Drosophila melanogaster: one gene and its partner. The protein of the gene in region 2 interacts with the protein of the main gene of each other region in a pairwise test. Each region holds a gene or a part of one and is shown on either strand. Other genes may lie near its edges.

Region 1 (3,759 bases), on a different chromosome or scaffold from region 2:
AACTGGTTATATATTTGTTATTTAAATGCATTCTTTTCTCCCGTAGTTTACAAAGCGCGAATTCTGGAGAATGCCAAAAAGCCGGTTCTATTGCGATATCCAAGAATCAGTTTAATGGGCTTGGATATAACAGAAAGTCTTTTAAAGGAGCCGAAAGTACAGGAGCTATTAAAACAAAACCGCACATTCGATGGAGTAATCTGTGAGACTTTCATGAATGACGCCCACTACGGTTTTGCAGAACATTTCGGAGCTCCACTGATCACTCTGAGCAGCTTGGGTGCCACTGGTTGGACCTCTGATCTGGTGGGCACACCCTCGCCACCATCGTATGTGCCACACTCATTGCTGCGGTTCGGGGATCGCATGAATTTCTGGGAAAGGGCTCAGAATTTGGGATTCCAGATATACGAATTTGCCTATGAGAATTTGATTAATCTACCAAGACATGAAGCACTGTACCGAAAGTATTTCCCTAACAACAAACAGGACTTTTATAGGATGCGCAAGGATACGTCATTGGTGCTACTTAACAATCATGTATCGATCAGCAATCCACGGCCCTATTCGCCAAACATGATCGAAGTGGGCGGAATGCACGTGAATCGAAAGGCACCAAAGCCACTGCCCCAAAATATTCGCAAATTCATCGAAGAAGCCGAGCATGGGGTTATCTATTTTTCATTGGGCTCCAATCTGAACAGCAAAGATTTACCGGAGAACAAGCGAAAGGCCATTGTGGAGACGCTAAGGGGACTCAAGTACCGAGTTATTTGGAAGTACGAGGAGGAAACCTTTGTCGACAAACCGGATAATGTTCTCATATCGAACTGGTTACCGCAGGACGATATCCTGGCACACGAAAAAGTGATTGCCTTTATAACCCATGGAGGACTTTTGAGCACAATGGAATCGATTTACCATGGCAAGCCCGTCGTGGGTATTCCCTTCTTTGGCGATCAGTTCATGAATATGGCAAGAGCCGAGCAAATGGGCTATGGCATCACGGTGAAGTATGCCCAACTAACGGCTTCACTATTCCGATCCGCCATCGAAAGGATTACTAGTGATCCTAGCTTCACGGAAAGGGTTAAGGTGATATCCAGTCAATATCGGGACCAAAAGGAGACTCCACTGGAACGAGCTGTTTATTGGGTGGAGCATGTGACTCGGCATAAAGGAGCCAAGTACCTGAGAAGTGCCTGCCAGGATCTGAACTTCATCCAATACCACAATCTGGATGTTCTGGCGACATTCTTTTCGGTCATTGGATTGACCGTTATTTTCGTCTTTCTATTAGTTCGGTTTTTAGTTACTATTGTAAACGGCTTTCTATATAAACCTAGTTCGAAGCTAAAAATTAACTAGTTTATATATAAATATTTTTTTAGTACAAAACTAAGCTATATAGAATATTATCTTTTTTAAGTATATTGGATTTTTTCGGTGGACTTAAATACAAATAATTTTTTACATAATACATCAAACTATTATTAAATTTTATGGTGGCTTAATAATTATCTCAAATTTTGATCTCAAACAAAAATTCGCAACGTGCATTTTCTAAAATACCTCGCATAGTTTTCTTTATCAACAACAAATATTGTTTGAATCAGAATTCTACACCAACCATGCATCAGAAAGAGAACCAAAGTGAAAAACAAAACAAAATATTGCTCCCCACCAAAAAAGCCGGTGTGAAAACAAAGCGAAGGAGAATCCGAGAATAAAACCTATCCAAAACTGATAATATATGCGAGAGAGCCTCTCCACTTTGTAGAGATATTGACACTCGATCGTGAATAGCGTACAAAATATTGAGATTTGGCACTGTAACGATGACGAAGAAGAGAGGGCGTGAGAATAGAAGAGCAGAGCAGAGCACACTCTCCAAATCTGATTGGGACCTAACCCAACCACTTATAATTACCTCATCGCAGTCCCATGTTAACTCAGTTTACTGCGAGGCGTCGAGGCGTTCGTAGCCCCCATTTAGTATCAGTTTCACGGTCGTTGGTCGTTAAGAACGCATTTCACAACTGGCAACAATTAAGCCAAATTAATTGTATTGAATTCGCAGTTTTCGAAACTAACGATGAAACCAACAGCTGGCCAAACGGGTTTTCTGGCCCTACTGCTGTTCTGCCTGCTGAGCTGCGTGTCTGCCTACAACTACCTGGTGGTGCTCCATACCGCCGCACGATCCCATTACCATGTGGGATCTGCCCTGGCCAAGGGATTAGCCGCTGCGGGACATCAGGTGACCATCATCTCCCCCTTCGAGCTGAAGAAACCCATCAAGAACATCAAAGATGTTCCGGCCAAGAGCATTCTGACTTCCATGCAGGGTATGTTTAACGACCGAAATTATTAATAACATTATTACACAATCTAATGGGGAATTCGGTAAGACTACAGACACTGTGTCTGAAATTAATAATTATTGAATGGAATCTAAAGTTTGAACAATGAACTTCCATTATAATTCAAGAACACAGTCGTATCATATTATTAGTGTGATTAATATAACATAAATTATTTCTGTTATTTTGCAATGGTGACAACATTTAAAGACTTTTAAAATGTGAATTTGTAAAATATGGCCTATGGTGTAAACCGGTTGGGTTACATCAAATATTTATTTGTTGACAAATGGAGTTTTCTGGTTTACTTATGCATTACATAACTAAATGAATTCAGCTTATTAGCTTAACTTTCAAAGTCATTTCATTTTTACCTCAAGAAGTTGCACCAATAAAAATGAGTTAAGTTCGATTCGATAAGCCTAGCTAACAATTGCTTCTGATAACGTCCATGGTTTCTAAGCACTTAAGGGTTTTAAAATAACCTAACCTAATACCAATTTTGTATGACATGACATGTTCTCTTTGTTAGAAAGACACGCGTTTTAATACACTTTAATTTATTTTAGGAAGAATTGCTAACCTTTTGCAAAGCTCAAAGGAGCCCATAATCAAGCAGATCATTAACTTTCACGAAATGGGTATTGAAATAACCGAATTGCTGCTGAAGGAACCATCTGTGATAGAACTGATGAAATCCAACCAGACCTTCGATGCCGTAATATCCGAGGTGTTCCTGAACGAAGCTCACTTCGGATTCGCCGAGCATTTCAAGGCTCCACTTATAGGACTGGGCACCTTTGGAGCTATTAGCTGGAACACCGATCTGGTGGGTGATTATTTGCCATAGTGACTAAGAGGATTTCCATAATTTATATATTCTTACCTTTTATTTTAGGTGGGATCTCCTTCACCGCCCTCGTATGTTCCCAGTGCACTGCTGAAGTTTAGTGACCGCATGTCCCTCGTAGAGCGAGTGGGCAACCAGGCCTTCCTCACCTACGAATATATCTTCCTCAACTACTTCTATCTGCCGCGCCAGGAGGTCCTCTACCGCAAGTACTTCCCCAATAACAAGCAGGACTTTTACGATATGCGCAAGAACACGGCTCTGGTGCTGCTCAATCAACATGTATCGCTCAGTTTTCCACGACCCTACTCACCCAATATGATCGAGGTGGGCGGCATGCACATCAATCGAAAGCGCCAGCCGCTGCCCAAGGACATTCTGGAGTTCATTGAGGGTGCCGAGCATGGAGTTATCTACTTCTCGATGGGCTCCAATCTGAAGAGCAAAACACTGCCGTTGGAAAAACGCCAGGCGCTGATCGACACCTTTGCCCAGCTGAAGCAGCGTGTGCTGTGGAAGTTCGAGGACACGGATCTGCCCGGAAAG
Region 2 (3,759 bases):
GTACTACGTAGAAGAGTGCAAATCAGAATTCCCGGTGCTTATCAATTTTCTTTGTTTTTAAAGTCAAAAGGTTGACTGTGTTTTTTAATAACTAATTATGTGCACATAAAAATGAGAAAGTAAAGAGAAGGAAAACAAATATGTATGTTGCATATGTGTACAAATTGCATATTAGTTAGTTCCGTTATACGTATTACTTAGGGCAAGTTAACATTTAGTTTTCAAGTATTAATCATTTAAATGTTAATTTATGAAGTGCATCATGATTGGATTGCTTTTAAGCCTTTCACTTACCTGGCAATGTGAAAACGCCGCTAAGGGCTAGCACGGTCATCAGCAAACCGAACAAGAGCTTCATTTTTGTTTGGTTTTTTTTTTTTCACAAGCTTATAATTTGTTTAATTTGTATAGTTTATTTAGGGCTGAAAGCTTTGATGCGTTGATGTGGACCGGCAACCGGATTCGATTCTGTTCAGTTTTGTTCTGTGCGGAAAGACAAACAATCGTCAAATGCGCTTAAATGATTTGAGGAAGCGGCAAATAAACGGCGGCCGGCTGAGTGAGTGAGCGAGTGAGAAACCGAGTGAGTGACTAGCTGACCGCTCTCTTGCTCTCCCTCTCACTCAATTAGCCGCTGGGCTTATAAATATTCCAAATGGCAGGCGGCAAGTGTTGTGGGAAGAGCGCTACACTGTGCCCGTCAACTGGGTACAATATTTGGGGACTCCACTGTGTACAGAATGCAGCGTATTAGTAATGTTCTTAGGCACATTTAAGTTAACTTTTATTTTCGTTACACCTTTTTGTTTCCGTTATAGCTTACTGGTTCATTAACTATTGTATCTACTACTATAAAAAATATAATATAATATAACTTTATCTTTATAATTATATATATATAAAAGCAGTTCTAAAAGGGCATTTGCTACTAATATTTTAAAATTTCGATTAAAAGGGTGTTTGAAAGTCGCCGTTGCTCATTGAACCTTTTGTAAATTTAGTTGTGTTTTCAATTTACTTAATCAGTTTTTGTCTATGCTTCGTTAGCTGCACGCGGGCTTCTCTATTCCACTATATTTGTATTTCAGACTTTAAATGTGTCCCTGTCACAGTTGCTGAATGTTTCAGTCGCCCCATTCGTATTTCAATTCCACTTCGATTGCATTGTATGGAACTATGTCTATTCAACGGCTGCTCGAATCACCTGTTAAATGCGCTTGGTGTTTAGTTCAAGGTTGTTGTTTCTGTAAACAAAAGCATCATTTGCTTATTTCCCTAATGGGCAGCTATTGAGAATTTTCTTCCAAGGAAATGAAAACGGAGCTAAAGACTATTCTCAGTAATTAAATGGTTATGATAGAGTGCTTCTTTTTAATTCCATCGATAAAGTAGTCACGCCTTGATTGAGCCGGGTTTAATCACGATTTTACTAACGAATATGCCAAAGATCGGCAATTTATTGGAAATCTTTAGTTAATCCGATTATGAATGATCTTTTTGACCCGAGAGAACTTACGATATAACACCCAATTACAGTTCTGATAAATATAAAAAGCCGTAAAGAATTTGTATAATTATACACTGATTTAAATCTAGAATGTATTATAATCTCAAAATGAACTGGAATTTTTGCACATCAGAAAATTATTTAAATATCTTGCCCGACAGTAAATTTTTCAAGGTCTTCAAAATTAGCAACTATAAACTTTAAATAGCATTTTTAATGTCTGATAGTTTTAGAAAGCTATTGTTTATGTTGGGCTCAGCATAAAAGTGAGCACAAGTAAATATTTCGCAAACAGCTGCGTGAAGTAAATTAGGCATCCAAATTATTGCCCAGACAGCCTAAACAAGCTGCAAATTGTTTGTTTGTAAACATTTTTGTCAGCGCCGAAGCGGAAATTGTTCACGCACACAATTTCATTCACATACACATGCCGACAACCGCGAATTTGCATAAATTTTATTATTGTTACCGGTGTCATACAGTTATTTCTGTGGATCGCTTGAATCACTCGATTTCGAAAGATCGGAGAAGAACGCGCGATCTTCAACGTGCGTTGGCTTTAATGAAACGTTTCGGACTAAACGGTTGCGTACGATTTTGGCTTCATTTATACCAGCTCACGTCGTTGGCACTCAAAAAAAAACAAAGAATTGAGAAGAGAGACCGGGAAAGGGAGGAATGCGCAGAGAAGAATACGAGAGCGAAGAAGGGTCTTCCGAGTGCTCCAAATGTGCATTCAACAATGTTTTAATTAAAAAAAAAAAAGAAAAATAACTAAAGAACTTTCAATTTTATATTTTTACAACAGATCCACTACCAAAGATGCCCCATCCTGTTTACCCAAAAAGTAGCAGAAATTTTACAAAAAGAATATTCATTGACACGTCAGTGGGAGCAAAAATGAATGTCGCCAGCGGAACGCGAATGTCCTCCAGTGCAGTCCCTTGACCAAAACCGTTGGAGTTCGAGGTGTATGTATAAAAATCAGAAATTCAAAGCGGATGGCCGACAGCGCCGAGAAAGAGGCGGGGATATAGTTAGCGACAAGGAACGCGCGCCAAGCTACGTTCTTGGATTGACAATGAAGTCCACCTGCCCCCTTTTACCTGAACTTGCCTCTTGGGAGCCGTGTTGCTTTATGGTTTTCGACCAGATTGAAATCGCGATCGGCGCAGCTACAGCTGTTAAAATCTCCTGCAGGCTGCTCTTCATGCTCTACAACTTGTAATTCTTGTCGTGGTCCCACGAACCGGATTCTGTTTTAACTACACTTTCGTTGGTTTTATTCGAACTGCTATTTTCGTTTTACTAAATACAGGTTTGATTGCACTATGCCTTTAAGTGGCAGAGGAGCATTTAAAATAAATTACCATTTTCGGTTAATCGTTGACACAACATTCTTGCGGTCGAGTCAATAAATTCCCCAAAAAACAAGATTTGGTTGTCAAGGCTTCGAAGTGAGAAGAATTTGAGTCAGCTTAGTCCTACATATATTTAAGTGAGTAAAGCTTGGCTTTTAGGACCAACGATATTTTAAAATATCAGATTGACTTGTTTTTAAATAAACTATTTACAATGCTATGATCTTCAGGTAAATATCGTAGTATATTTTCTATTTTTTTATATATACTAATTATATATATTTTTCTTTATCATTTGCAGTCTCTTAATTAGTCATAAATCTTTCGAATTTAAATTTAGACACCGGATGACAGACAGAAACACTCACAGATTATAACGAAACGTGCTCTTGACCTTGACACTGTTGGAAAAAAATGAAGTACCCATATTCAGATATTTATTTTAGGATTGAATATTTTTAGAATGTTTTAAATTTCCTTGATAAACTTTATTCTTGCGCCATCTATGTACTTGCAGAAGACGCTGATACTAGCGCCACCTGGCAGCAGTAGGTTCTTAACATTTCTGTTAATTTTACAGAGCTGGAAATATGCTGGCTGTTCGAACGAGAGTTGCCAGATGAATTTAGACGTTGCCTTGGTAACGGTTTTCACTTGATTTTATTGTCGAAATAAAATAAATAAAGAAGGAAAACAAATATAAGGGACTAAAATAAAATAATAATGTTTCGTCGTGGAAAACTATCCTTTCTAAACACCAAAGATGACCGTGTTAAAATAATAAACGAGCGCATAAACATAACAGAAAGGCATCTAATGGAGATGTGCTCTTCGTTTGCTTTGGTAACGCGGAAAATGGCCAAGTGAGTTTGGTAAATAAATAAATCTGAA

What was found.
Region 1: the proteins of vir-1 (region 2) and Ugt302C1 interact in a two-hybrid assay, tested with the Drosophila melanogaster proteins (one large-scale study listed by BioGRID).

The regions. Positions count from the first base shown.
Region 1 is NT_033777.3:11,155,146-11,158,904, forward strand, and holds the start of Ugt302C1 (UDP-glycosyltransferase family 302 member C1), read left to right. Parts: upstream 1-1,952; 5' UTR 1,953-2,095; coding exon 2,096-2,348; intron 2,349-2,932; coding exon 2,933-3,192; intron 3,193-3,261; coding exon 3,262-3,759. Other genes in the region: Ugt302E1 (UDP-glycosyltransferase family 302 member E1), read left to right, coding at 47-1,368.
Region 2 is NT_033779.5:12,421,347-12,425,105, forward strand, and holds the start of vir-1 (virus-induced RNA 1), read right to left. Parts: upstream 2,094-3,759; 5' UTR 1,977-2,093; intron 517-1,976; exon of another isoform or gene 484-516; 5' UTR 359-483; coding exon 295-358; intron 1-294. Other genes in the region: Fam92, read left to right, coding at 3,592-3,731.